Canis lupus familiaris: one gene and its partners. The protein of the gene in region 1 purifies or fractionates together with the protein of each later gene. This does not show direct contact. Links are inferred from orthologs where the notes say so. Each region holds a gene or a part of one and is shown on either strand. Other genes may lie near its edges.

What was found. Proteins that work in one complex are often made in the same cells at the same time.
Region 2: the proteins of SLC30A4 (region 1) and METTL9 purify together in Homo sapiens (co-immunoprecipitation; 3 studies listed by BioGRID and IntAct, with this or other methods). This does not show direct contact. The link is inferred for Canis lupus familiaris from reciprocal best matches to the Homo sapiens genes SLC30A4 and METTL9.
Region 3: the proteins of SLC30A4 (region 1) and FUT8 purify together in Homo sapiens (co-immunoprecipitation; 3 studies listed by BioGRID and IntAct, with this or other methods). This does not show direct contact. The link is inferred for Canis lupus familiaris from reciprocal best matches to the Homo sapiens genes SLC30A4 and FUT8.

The regions. Positions count from the first base shown.
Region 1 is NC_049251.1:12,123,324-12,128,250, forward strand, and holds part of SLC30A4 (zinc transporter 4), read right to left. Parts: intron 1,155-4,927; coding exon 1,001-1,154; intron 1-1,000. UniProt on the Homo sapiens protein: Probable proton-coupled zinc ion antiporter mediating zinc import from cytoplasm potentially into the endocytic compartment. Controls zinc deposition in milk.
Region 2 is NC_049227.1:23,420,677-23,425,603, forward strand, and holds the end of METTL9 (methyltransferase-like protein 9), read right to left. Parts: intron 3,799-4,927; coding exon of another isoform or gene 3,693-3,798; exon of another isoform or gene 3,642-3,692; intron 1,734-3,641; coding exon 1,528-1,733; 3' UTR 1,032-1,527; downstream 1-1,031. Other genes in the region: IGSF6 (immunoglobulin superfamily member 6), read left to right, coding at 3,693-3,798. UniProt on the Homo sapiens protein: Protein-histidine N-methyltransferase that specifically catalyzes 1-methylhistidine (pros-methylhistidine) methylation of target proteins.
Region 3 is NC_049229.1:40,144,568-40,149,494, forward strand, and holds part of FUT8 (alpha-(1,6)-fucosyltransferase), read left to right. Parts: intron 1-1,785; coding exon 1,786-1,901; intron 1,902-2,015; coding exon 2,016-2,178; intron 2,179-4,927. UniProt on the Homo sapiens protein: Catalyzes the addition of fucose in alpha 1-6 linkage to the first GlcNAc residue, next to the peptide chains in N-glycans.

The DNA.
Region 1 (4,927 bases):
GCAGAAGGAATACCAGGGCAAAGGCCCTTAGATGAAAATGTGCTCTGTGTGTTTCAAAAAAGCAAGACAGCCATTGCGGCTAGACTAAAGTGAGCAAGAATGCTAGGGTGAGTTAGAGAGGTACACAGTATCTTATTAACAAATTAAGGACTTTGATTTTTATTTATTTTATTTTAAGTAGGAATGGAAGCCAATAGGAAAGGGATTGGCAAACAGGCCCAAGTTTTATTGGGACACAGATGTGCTCATTTATTTACATACTAAATGTGGCTGCTTTTGTTCTATAACAGCAGAACTGACTAGCTGGAAAAGAGACTGCATGAGTCTCAAAGTCTACAGTAGTTACTATCTGGCCCTTTACATTAAAAGTTTGCTGACTGCTGGTCCAAATAATCATATAACCTAAAAATTTCATAGCTTTTAGGGAAAAAGTTTATAGTTAAAAAAAAATCTTATTTATATATAAGTAAAAGTTAAAAACTTTGTCCCACTTAAATTCCAAGTTGTTAGTCAAACTTCAGTATAACTGAGCAAACTAATGAGAAATTTATAATTCCATCAGTGTTTTATTAAGAAAAATTAATGTACTATATAATTTTAAAATACATAAAAATACCACTGAACGTTACCAAATGCATGTAAATAGTCTCTAAGTTCACAGTACTTAAAAATATTAATGTGAAAACAATATAGAGTATATGATACCATAATGGTATATACATATCATTACAAAATTGTCCAAACCCATAGACTATACAACAATAAGAGAATGAACCCGAATGTAAACTAAGGATGGTGTGTGGTAATGTGTTAATGCTGGTTTATCAACTGTAACAAAGGTATCACTGTGATGGAGGATGTTTATAATGGGGGAAGCTATCTATGCATGTGTGAAGGCAGGGGTGTACGGGAAATCTGCACTTTCTGCTCAATTTTGCTGTGAACCTAAACTGTTCTAAAAAATAAAGCTATTAATTTTTTTTTAAAAAATAGAGCTTACATTACATTAACAGCAACTCCAACTGCTGCAGTGATGAGCATTATATCTCCATTTATTTCATATTTCATATGGATAGTTCTTTGGACAGCTTCATATAGGAGGAATCCCATAAGTATATACACCAATAGCACACTAATCATAGCTGATAAAACCTCTGGAGGGAAAAATATAAAGAACATATACATCTGTAGTATGGTTATTACACTTCATACAAACTAAATATTGTACACTCTTTTATTTATATCTTTCCTCTAAAGAGATAAAAACCCTGTATCATTTGTCATGTTACTTTCCTTATGTAAAAAGTGTATGGTAGTTTGCTCTGGATTCTCCACTAATTCATTCTTACCAATCCCCACTTTTCCCTCATCTCTTTAGGGTCAAACCGTGTATATTTAACAGACCATACATATGATAAAAAATGAAAAACTGAAAAAATAATTATTTGTAACATACATGGCCACAGACTAATTTCCCAGTAGAAGAGTACACTTATAAATCAATAACAAAGTGAAGAACCGATACCAAAAATGGGTAAAGGACACAAATACTAATATACAGAAAATTAACAGAAATAACCAATTTATCAAAATCAATCCTAAATACAAGAAATTCAAAAAAGAATATGATTGGTTTTTGTCCCTTACTAAACTGGTAAATATTAAAAAGCTTGATGACAGCCAGAGTTAGCAAGGATATACTGGTGGAAGTATCAAGTGGAACTATCTTTTTGGACAGCAGTTAGTAAAACAAATCGAAATTTAAGATGCATGTATTCCTTGATTCTAGGAATCTATTCAATAAAACACGTGATATATATGTAAAGATATACCTACAAGGTTTTTCATTGTAACTTCACTAGTATCAAAAAATATCTGGAGATATCGTAAATGTTCACCAATAAGGAAATTAATGGATAAAGTGTGATTTATCCAGATAGTGGAGTATCATTAAGCCATTTATATTTTTTTTAAAAAAGGGAAAAGGAAAAACAAAAATCAGGCAAATTGATAATCACAAGGAAGTGGCGACTAGGAGCTTAGCAAACTTAGTTTTCATTTTATTCTTTTCTGTAATGTTTGAAATGTTTTAAGTTTTACCACAGACACATACTATCTTTAGACTAAAGACAAACAATAAGGCATGCAAATATTCATGAATGTACTTTGACACAGAAATTCTTCTTCTTAGAGTGATATACACATTCATCACATGTGCAAAATGAGGTATATTATGAAGCTATTCGTCAAGCACAGTATATAACAGCAAACAACTGAAAACAATAAAAGTGATTATAAGGCCCTATAACATGGAATACTATGCAGCTGTTAAAAAAGAATATAGCTTTTTATGTTCTAATAAGGAGTAATCTCCAAGATATAGTGTTACACGAAAAAAGCAAAGTGCGTATGGTATGTTACTACTTGTGAAAAAAGAGAATATATAAATAATATCTGTACATCCAATCTCTGAAAGGACATACAAAATACTGATGAAAAAAACTGGTTATGAGGAAAATAGGTAGCTAGGAGACAAGGACAACTGCACCATATATGCTTTTGTATCATATAAACTTCTACCATGTAAGTACACAGTAGAGATAATTTTTTACCTTTTCAAGATAACACAATAGGGCAATGGGAAGTACATTTTTAAATAATTAACTAGGATTATAATATAAAGCAATTGTTGACAGTCAAAACAATAAAAGCAAAAAAATACTTTTAAAGAAAATTTTTCCTTTAGACAAACCAGACATTAATCTTATTAAAGGTAAAACAACTTGGGAGACTGTTATCTGAATCAAGTCATTGCTAAAAGGTTCCAGGCAGCTCAAATATATTGAACTTTGATACAATTTTATTCTGATGCATAAATTACAACACAGAAAAGTTATCTAGCAGTTATAAGCTGTTTCCTGAACATATCTCATCAATGTTGCGAAAACGCTGCATTTAAGGATACCTGGGTGGCTCAGTGGTTGAGCATCTTCCTTTGGTTCAGGTTGTGATCCCAGGGTCCTGGGATCAAGTCCCAAATCAGGCTCCCTGCAGGGAGCCTGCTTGTCCCTCTGTCTGTGTCTCTGCCTCTCTCTCTCTCATTAATGAATAAACAAAAATCTTAAAAAAAAAAAATCCTGTGCATTAGCAGAACAAATGATGGAGTAAGACAACAAATAGTTCCTATTCAAAACCATGGTATGCCTATTTCTGACATACTCATAATCATACTTCAAAAAACACATGGGGCTGAAGAAGACTGAGAAAGACTCTGAAATATACAAAGCTGTGGAGACACTTCCACATTGAGGGCAGACTCTCAGCAGCCTGAGGATAGGACCAGTTCCATTCCATGTCACATTTACTATAGCACTCAACAGAGTGGTTGTCACATAGCAAATATTTATGGATGCATTTGCTGAATGAGGTTAGGCTGAGCAAGGGGAGATGATAAAAGGCTATACAATTAAGTAAGAAGGACAGGCTTTCCTAAATCCCCCAAAACAAGAAGTAAATTGGTTAGAAGAATTAAGTCAAATACCAGACAGAAGATGATGCACGGAATTTCTCATCTTAAGTTATACTTGCTAATGGTAAAGTACATACACATTAAAAAAAAAAAAAAAAAAAAAAGGAGCTAAAATATTTGTGCCTAGGTGGCTCAGTCAGTTAAGTGTCTGCCTTCAGTTCAGGTCATGATCCCAAGGTCCTAGGATCAAGCCCTAGGTCACTGGGCTCTCCACTCAACAGGGACTCTGCTTCCCCTGCTTGTGCTCTCTTTCTCTCTCTGTAAAATGAATGAATGAATGAATGAATAAATTTTAAAAGGAAGGGGAGGAGGGCGGGGGGGTGGGGGTGACTGAGTCGCGGGCACTTAGGGGGACACTTGACGGGATGAGCACTGGGTGTTATTTTGTATGTTGGCAAATTGAACACCAATAAAAAATAAATTTATTATTAAAAAAAGATTTTTTTAACTGTAAATTTAATATACTAGTGGTAGCTTCATTTTACTCACAAAATAAGAAAACTTTCTCTAAAGTTGGTATTTAATAAATACTGGGGGACCTGGCTGGCTCAGACAGTAGACAATGAGACTCTTGATCTTGGGGTTATGAGTTTGAGCCCTACACTGGGACTACTCCCAGTAAATTTTTTTAGGTAAAAAACAGAACAAAACAAAAACCAATTCTTCTTAAAACTCTTTCCCCACCCCAAAAAGAGAACTTTAATGTGTCAAGGTTGAAGCTATGAATTAGGCCACATAGTTTTTAAGATGACTTAATCAAATTGTTAATATAAAATTATAAGGCAATACGCTTTATTTACAAAAATTCATAGCTATTTAAGTTAATGACATACAGCTGTGATTACTTATGAAAATCTTAAACCAATAATTAAAAATTATCTCAAAATTCCCTATAATTAAGTTGACAATACTTTACAGTTTTCTGGGATAGCCCCAATTTATGTCTGTTGTCCTGGCATAATCATTAAAAGTGCGCCACTGCACTCTTCACTCTCAAAAGTCTCCTGGTTTGGATGGCAAATGATAAGTTACCTTAGTAGGTATGCCAGATTAAATGGATGTCTAGTTAAATTTGTATTTCAGATAAACAATAAATAATTTTTTAGGATAAATATGTCCCATGCAATATTTCACACATATTGAGCATCCTGCAAGTATGTACACATGGCCAAACCCTAAATCTGGCAACTCCATATCCCAGTGATAATTTTCCTAAACACTTAAAATCATCTTTTTTTGTGAACTTTCATATAAGGCAGAACCAATGAAATAAAAAAAAATTTTTTTTTTCAAAATAAAGTAAAATGAAAGTCAAACTAAAGCATGAACAGAGATCCTTGGCAGGGAGGATTTCCACACTTAGAAGGCCCATGAGGCTCCTGCAGCCTGCGCCTCAAC
Region 2 (4,927 bases), on another chromosome or scaffold:
TCAAGGCTTTAATTCTCCTTTATACCCAGGTGTTGCAGTAAATGTGTTGACTTGATGACTTCTATGAGCATATAAATGAGAATACTTAATGAAACACCTGGCTGAAAAAAGAAATAAAGTCATGAGAATAACATATTGTTAATAACCACGATTTTAAATCCGTGTCTCTGTTATTATTGAGATTTTAGATTCTGGGTTAAGTGCTCTACTCTCTTTGGAATATGCACAATGGTTATTGATCTTGCTAATGAGTTCCTCTATTGCAACATTTGTGGGTATATGGTTGGAGGCACTCAAGGATTCTAGAATGTAGGAGTCTAACATGGTCTTCATCAATCCATATTCTTGGCAAATAAACTCAGTTAAGGATTTCGGGAAGAACCAGGTTCTGGGAAAGAGGTATACATGTGTAGAGTAAGAAGGGGAATTAAAACATTTTTAGGCTGCGTTTTATCAGCAGACACAACGGAATGGTTCAATTATGAGAACCTGAGGGATCCCTGGGTGGCGCAGCGGTTTAGCGCCTGCCTTTGGCCCAGGGCGCGATCCTGGAGACACGGGATCGAATCCCACGCCGGGCTCCCGGTGCATGGAGCCTGCTTCTCCCTCTGCCTGTGTCTCTGCCTCTGTGTGTGTGTGTGTGTGTGTGTGACTATCATAAATAAAAAAAAGAATAAAAAAAAATTATGAGAACCTGAGATTGTCCAGAAAAACAGAATTCTGAGTCTAGTGTGGAAGCTATCACAAAGTCAGAAGCCAGTGTTTTGCACTTCCCAAAGCAACATAAAATGGGAGTGGGAGATGGTCCCTGAAGTATTAGATCTGAATGAGGTTGCTCTTTCAAGGGTTAGTCTAGACTGCCTCAGTGTTCACCACAATTTCAATAATCCCCCAGCCCCTCACCCAGTCGGAAGCCTTTATCACATAGTCAACTGTACTTTTCACCTAATGCTACTATGTGGGCACTCTTGAAGCCAAAGCAATAAAAGATCCTAGGGGAGCCTTATATTAACTCAAACATGATGCCAGAGTCATCTCCAAAAAAGTTTATTAGCATGATTAAAAACATTTTTTGAATAATGACAGAATTTCTAAACATGAAAGAGTATCAGTGGCTATACCTTGTAACCAAATATTTGCAACTGAATGGACAGCTTTATTGCCAGTCTTCATTTTATTAAAAACAATCCATATTTATTGGTTCCATGTGAAGTCGTGACTATTGCTTTGACTGGGGATGAGTCCCTACTGCAATTAAGTATAAAAAATATCTTCCATACTTGGAGTGTGACCTGTATTACTGAGTAAAGAGTTGATAAAAATCCTCAAAGAGTTGGGTTTTGTTTTTTAAAAACATTCCTTTTACACACTACAAAGAAATAATTAGTATTTTGGCTTTTTAAATTCCTACATGATATTTAGAATGGCAGTCCCCAAAGGTCCTCCCTTCACATAACCGCAAACGCAGACCCTCTTCTGGAGTGTACATTCTTGGGGTGGGCTCTGAAGACTTGGGCCTCCACGTGTCTATACTGGTTTGAGAACAAAGACAGCATCATCCAGAACGTAGTAGTCATTATACATGTCACCTTCACACAGGTATGGTAGTCTGGTGAAAGCTTCAATAACAAAACCAGCTTTTCTGAAAACTTCAGGCAGACTATTCACTTGTTCTTCCCAATTCTGTCCCTTGATTTCTAAAATTTCTGATGGTTTCTCCCACTTGCCACCTACTAAAACAAATAGAAACATTAAGTTAAATTCTTGAACAAACAAGTTACTTAAAGAGAGAAGGGAGGAAGAACAACATTTGCCAAGGACTTGGTATGTGCCAAGCACCGGGGACTTTGATGAATCATCTTCCTCATATCCCCGAGGTAAGAGGACAGAAATGAAGTATGGACCCAGAGGGCTGAGGATTCACCCAAGCCTACAAGGTTAGTGAGGGTAAGAGCAGAAATGCATTCCCAGGTTTGTCTGGATCCAAAACTTATAGTTTTACCATCTTTGACAGTTTCAGATATTACCCTTCATTAGACCAAATGGGTTGTAATAGTTCATGGTTTTAGTGAACTCCTCATTAAACACAGGAATATGAAAGCAGAGAGTTACCCATAAAATGTGAAAGAAAGGTTAGGGATAAATGCAAGAAAATACACCCGAGATATAGTAAATGTATGCAATGTATTAACTAGAAAGATTTATCAGGCCGAAAACAGACTAATGAGGCTTTTAATTTATAACGACAGATCATCGATGTGTTTTTCAAGTGAAGTTGAGCTACTCCCTAACTTTTCATAACACTTTTATACAAGTTAAGCTCCAAAACCAAAGAGAGAGAGAGAGAGCGCGCACTAGAACGGATGTGTCGGCCTGGCATTTCTTGGACTAGTGGCTGAAATCTGTCCCGGTCATTTGCAAGCCTAGGAGAGCATTCAGATGCTTAAGGAGTGGGGATGGGGTGGCTGGATAAAGTCTTCAGGTTCACACCAAGCATTGGCTACAGACACACAGACACACACAGATGATGGTATATGTCAATTCTAGGTTGTTTGTATATACTGTGATGTTTTTTAAAATGCACACATATTAAGTATATTACTAAATTCAGACAGAGAGTAACTTTCTGTGAGAAAATGCATGATATGTGCCAAGAGTACAAAGACACCCGGCACCTGAACCCTCTTCCTAGAGTCCTATGGCAGTCAAAGCCTGGGGAAGTAGCTTTCCCCTCTATTCCTATGGTGAAGGCACCGGCACATGACTTAAGTTCAGAACACTCGCCTGGGACACAGACTGAAGACCTAGTGACCCAGACAAGAGGGACGTAGGCTCCTTCTCTGGGAGGGCAGAGCAGTGGCCATGACACTAAGCAGCTGGGGCAGCATCAAGTGTTATGAACAATAGAGTGCAGTCTGTGCCATGGTCCCTAGTGCTCGGCAGCAGGAGTACACTTTTCAGATCAGTTTTACAGCATGTTTTTCTGAGGTGTTTTTCTTGGCTCTAGACCCTACGCATGATTCTCCAATCCTCCCATGACTGTGTGAGCTACCCTTGAATCCTTTCAATCAATTTCCTTTCACTGAAATCAGCCAGAGTCTGTTTCTGCTGCTTCCAAGGAAGAACCCGACTGATGAGGCCTCCGTGGGGCAGGAGAGGGAGGAGGAGGGAACTTCAACAGAGGGCCCACTCTTGGTCTCAAAGACACATTAGAAAGGGGTTACACAAATCTGAGGTACAGCTAGTTAATGTCACATAGCATTTCTTCATTATACCACGATGTATTGTTCATTAATTTTTCTCTTCTCTCTACATGAAAACACTTCCTTCTGCTTCCAGTGTGACTGGCCCAGCACTGAGCACACAGTAGGTACCCCAGGATCAGTGACCAAAATACTCTGGAAATTTAAAGGAACAATTTATCTGTCAAACAATACTCTCTCCTGGGAATAAAGACTACATGTAAATCAAAATCTCCCTCAAAATGTCTACAAATTCAAGAAACAATTTACCATATGCACATTTAGAAATGTACCCTATACTAAAATCTCAACTCTAAATGGTGAAACTGGGTTACAAACAATCTTTTACACAATTTCAAAAAGTTCCCGGTTATGGTTCCTTAATAAGAGTTCCTCTCTTCAGTTCTTCTTTTCTAAAGAGACAGAAAAAAAAGAGCTCACTCTCTTCAAATGCATACTGCCCACCACCGCACACGCACACCCCAAGAAATGGAGACTGTGAAGGGAAGCAGGATCGTTCTTGGCCTGGAAATCAATCTGATTCTCTTTTATGTCGGTAAGGTTCTTTCTTTTCTCTTCCATTTTATCTAATCAATTGCTATTCCTCACCTAATACATTTATATTTTAAGCCCCTACAGATTAATTTTGAAATGTCTAACACTATAGAAATGGTCTTCTTCCCCCAGACAAATAAGTAATAAAAGAATAGCTGAAAAAAAGTTTCAGATTTTTTTAAAAGATTTCATTTATTTATTCATGAGAGACACAGAGAGAGAGGCAGAGACACAGGCAGAGAGAGAAGCAGGCGCCATGCAGGGAGCCCAATGTGGGACTCGATCCCGGGTCTCCAGGATCAGACCCTGGGCTGAAGGCGGCACTAAACCGCTGAGCCACCCAGGCTGCCCAAAAGTTTCAGATTAACCTTGAAAATTCCCTTTGCTGCTTTAGAGAAGAGGACCTCACCAAACAAAGGGTTGAAAATGTTCTTAAAATTGCATGTGCTAGTCATCAACAATGTCGTTTCCATATAGGCAAACTCACACTGCACTTGATAGGCACTATGCAATACTTGCTGAATATTTTCAAAGAACAAGGTTTCTGAAAATCCAGATTTCTGTAAATTAAAAAGTACTTGTCATTAAAAAAGAAATGCTGCCATGGCTCCTTCTATAGAGCATAACCATCCCATAATAGATATACTTTTAAAATTCTGCTTATATTGATTTTTTTTCTCTATGAAAAAGAAAGTGGGGGGATTCCTGGGTGGCTCAGTGGTTGAGCATCTGCCTTTGGCTCTGGGTGTGATCCCGATCCGGGGATCAAGTCCTGCGTCAGGCTCCCTGTGAGGAGCCTGCTTCTCTCTCTGCCTGTGTCTCTGCCTCTCTCTCTGTCTCTCATGAATAAAGAAATGAAAATTATTTTAAAAAATAAAGAAAAAGAAAGTGGTTCTAATAATCTATCTCATCATAGCTGTAATAAAGCTAATAATCTCAAACTTGTTCACAAAGTCTGGGTCATAGGACAGGGAAGGTAGAAAAAGGTCTTAAAATAATTTTTTTCTCATCTGCAAAGAAATATATCAAAATGTTAACAATGGTTATTTGGGCACGAGGACCATGGGTGAATTCAGTAATATTCTGATTTTTTTTTCTCATCTGTTTATATGACTTTCATAAACTATTTT
Region 3 (4,927 bases), on another chromosome or scaffold:
TGGAATTTTCTGTCATTAAGGTATGTTCTGGAAAAGGACATGCTTGTCCTATGGCATATTGCTCTCAAAAATAAATTCTAAGAGGTAGTAGTTTTAGTCTCTTATCAAATTATTTCCTAGAAATCAGCCATCTACTTCAGAAAGAGATTAAAAGCCAAATTTTAAAAACTGTATACCAGGAAATGCCTCATTTATGAATGTATGCACATTTGAGCTTATAAATTGGGTAATTGTGCACCTAACAACTCTGTTTATTTTATCATTATTCACTCTATGTATACAAATTAAGGCTTTGTAATTCAAATTTTGTAGCCTGGGATACTCATGATTAGAGAATGGTTATTTTTCATGCTGCTGTTCAGTGTTAATGCATACAATTACAGAATACCTCATTTACTCTGGTAGATTTGTACCAAGAGCTACTTTACTAAGCCTTTATTCTGAAGTGGTATAGGTAAGTAATAGTTAATTTGGCTGTTATATAAAAAAATATTCAAAAAGGTATAAAAAATCTGTATTGCAGTCTTTGCATCAAAGGACTGAGTTGACATCTGGATTTAAGTTCTGCCAAGTATATTTTAAAAATTAAGTTCCCTTAAAATGATTGTGATAAGAATAGATAACCCAGATATTTTGCAATTATAGCTCATCTCTGAAATGCCTGAGCCCAGATACAATGGTCCTGATAGTTTATTGCCAAACATTGTGCTAAATACTTCCATAGATTTTGGAAGAAAATCAGCCATTATTTAATCTTGACAGTAATTATGCAAATATATACATAGATGTATGGATGTAAGTATTATGTGAACGTGTGTTAGTTTTCTATTGCTGCCGTAATAGTTACTACAAACTTTGTGGCTCAAAACAATAGAAATTTATTCTCTTACAGTTTGGGGGGGCAGAAGTCTGACATGAGTTTTACTGGGCCAAAACCAAAGTGTCAGCAGGGCCACATTCCTCTGGGAAACTCTAGAGGAGAATCTGTTTCCTTGCTTTTCCCAGCTTCTAAGGATGCATTCCTTGTATTTGTTGCTTATGACCCCGTCCTCCCATCTTTAAAGCTAATAGCTACACCATCTTCTCTTCTTTTGTAGTAAAACCTTCCTCTGCCTCCCTCTTATAGGAACATTTGTGATTACAATTAAGGCCCACCTACATAATCCAAGACTGTTCATTTTTTTTCCAATATGCTCATCTTCTACTCTTGTCTTTCCTTTCTATAAAACCAGTACTTAAAAAAAAATAAAGTAAAATAAAAAAATAAAATAAAACCAGTACTTAGCAATCTAAGGTCATGAGTTTATGAATTGAAGCACCAATTTACATAACTTGATATTGTGATGAATTCAGAAATAATTTGTATTTGCTATTTGAACACCCGCACATGTTTAGATTCATACCTTCTTATTTCCCTTAAGCCTTTTTGTCACCTTCTCTTTCACCTTTGTTGCTCTTGACACTAATGGAGAATTGACCACTATGCCACGGGTGGTGTTTTTCTAAGTGATATGATGAGAGTTTTTAGGACACAATCCTAAAGGCTCCTGTATTCCTAGAAGGTCATAGATATCTGAGCTAGATTATTTTTTTCTGGTTTTGTTCAGTATCATTCCATTGTTTATGCTTTATCCTATACCTTTGGAGAGAAAATTTTATTTTGTACTTCTAATATATGATTTATGACTTCTAGAGTTACCAATAAATATATTGTAGCAAAGTAAGCATTAATTTTATTGTATAATTTATAAGCGAAATGTTTACATTTTCTTTTTTGAATTACAGGATACCAGAAGGTCCCATCGACCAGGCGCCAGCTTCAGGAAGGGTTCGTGCTTTAGAAGAACAGCTTTTGAAGGCCAAAGAACAGATTGAAAATTATAAGAAACAAACTAGAAATGGTAGGTGATTATGTAATCTTTTTCTTCTTTAATATGTTGATATTACCACAAATAATTAAAATTTTCTTTCATCAAAATATGAAAATGTTAATACTATTTATTCTTTGACTGCAGGTCTGGGGAAGGATCATGAAATCCTAAGGAGGAGGATTGAAAATGGAGCTAAAGAGCTCTGGTTTTTTCTACAAAGTGAATTAAAGAAATTAAAGAATTTAGAAGGAAATGTACTCCAAAGACATGCAGATGAATTTCTGTCAGATTTGGGACATCATGAAAGGTGCTATTCTTTTTTTACATTTCATTGGGGCTTTGGTAAAGATTATACTCTAAGAATATAAACTGGAATTTTTGTTAATTTCCCTATTGAATGGTAAGTGATACCTACCATATTTAGAAGAAGAGTACCTAAGATTTTAAGGACAATAATTCCCAAGTGTAGTTCATCAACTAAAATATATCACTGGAAAATATTATTTAAAATGTATTTTTAGAAATCTTTATAACCCTAAGTGAACTCTGAAGGTGTCAGCCAGTAATGCATTAAAATATCTTCCTATAAATTTCCTTCATATACAATCAATAATTGGAGTATGCAGTTTTACATTATAGTACATTGGAACTCATACTGAGGCTGGCAGTTATGTTTCTAATTCACACGTTAAAGACTTTAAAATAACACCTTTTTAGGATCTCTAATTAAAGGTTGCACATGTTTTTAATAAATGGCTACATTTCTTTTAATTCTTTTCTACTTAGTTGCTTTAGAAAGAAGAACCTGAGATCTCCCTAGTTAAATTTATTTCTCCTGTTTACATATTCCTGAAAATATGCAGTTTATCTTCCATAGAAAAGAAAACATTTTGGTACTGGAGTATTCATGTGGAACACAGTGTATCTGAGAATCATTATAAATACAGTGAAACCTGTCCTTAGGCCTGTTATATATACAAGTCTATATTCCCAGTAGGATTCTGATGGCAATTACTGTCTCATTAGTGAACAGTAAAAGAAAAATTGTTGTATTAACACAATCTACCACTGGGAAGAAGAAAAGAATTACCCCACAACCAAGAGATTTATATATATTAACAGCATCCCCAATATTGTACAGATTTGAAATACTGTTTTGCTATTTTAAGTGAAATTACAAATAAAATCCATCAGTTTATTGGAATCATTTTAGCATTAATCTACAGAAGTAAGCATTAATCTCAAGGGGCATTCAGCAGTCCCTTTTAAAATTTTAGCCATATTTAGACCATTAGACCAATTGCTGATTAATTCCATCCTTATTGCTTCTCTACCCTAAAGCTGATTCTGAGCATCATGATTCTGCTAATTGGAGCTGTATGCTTGTATGCTTTGCTTAATGCAGTTTTATAGGATAATGCAGATCTGAAGAGGATTTGAGTTGGGTAGACTATGTGGTATTTAAAGGACAATTTTGGCTATTGAATTCTTTGTGTTTAAAGTTTGAGTGATTAAATTACTTGAAAATTTAATCTTCAGGTCTTTTCTAAATTAAAATTATTATTTAAAGAATTATTTTGTGCATGTATTTTGTGACTGTATATAGAAATAGAAAAATATGTGCAAATATACAAATGAAAAAAGTGTGGAGCCCTAAAGTTGATGTAAATCATTGTTAAATTTTTTGTAAGTTGAATTTTGTTTTAAATATATTATGATTCCTGACACTACCTTTTAGTATATGTTAAATAATAATATTTCACTGAAAAGAAAATGGAAAGGTACCCCAGTCAGTTTCTTTTGTTATCTTAGGCAGAAATTCTAAGGAACTTGGGATGCAACTTCACTGGGTAGTAATTTCACTTCAGGTAGCTGTATTAGAATGCAATGATAAAATAATGAGCAAAGCACAGCCAGACATTGGAGAAATAACCCTAAAGTTATGAATGTATAATTAGAGAGAATTTGTATGTATGCAGAATATGCCATCTTATAATTTTCAAGATTTTTAAGTGTAAGAATTAAAACAGACTTTTGTGTTTGCCTCTGGTGATTTTTACATTGCACAAAAATTCCCATTTCACTTTTTCATTTCCCCAAATGTAGTGTATAGGTTGTCTCTGGACTAAAAGTTTGTGTTCTCTAAGAAATCAGAGGGTGCGTCGATTAGTGTTTTTGTTCAGCTTTCCCTATGATCACTGTTGTCATCTTTTGGTTCAGAAAGACATCAGTTGGGTGCGTGGATGGCTCAGTCGGTTGGGCATCTGCCTTCGGCTCAGGTCATGATCTCAGGGTTCTGGGATCCAGCCCTGGTGTCAGTGTTGGGCTCCCTACTCAGTCCCCTCTTCCTCTGCCATTGCCCTCTTATGCTCCATCTCACTCTCTGTCTCTCTCTCACTCTCTCAAATAAATAAATAAAATCCTTTTAAAAAATTTAAAAAAAGAAAGACATCAATTATAGGAACAAATTTAGAGGCTTTTGTTTCTTCAAAAGGGTTTTTTTCTTTCTTAGAACTTTGTTCTGATAGAAACATTGATCTTTTTCCTAAGTCAGTTTTATTGTGACATAATTTATATACTATAAAACATATGTATTTTAGTCTGTAGTTCTATGAGTTTTCACAAATGCTTGCAGTTTTGTTACCAACACCACAATCAACATACAGAACATTGCTATTAACCCATGAAGTTTCCTCATGCTCCTTTGTAGTCAGCACCTGCCCATCCCGTAGTCCTTGGCAGTCATTAGGTCTGTTTCCTATACCTATAATTTTGCCTTTTCCAGAATTTTATGTAAATGCAATCATTGTGTAGCTTTGAGTGTGGCACAATGCATCTGAGATTCACCCATGTTGTTTTGTGTATTGGTAGTTCATTTCTTTTTATTGCTAAGTAATATCCTATTGTATGGATGTACCATAGGTAGTTTATCCATTCACCAATTGAAGAACATTTGAGTTGTTTATATGTTTTGGTGATTATGAATAAAGCCACTATAAACATTAACATACATGTTTTGGCAGAAACATATTTTCATTTCTTTTGGATTAAATATC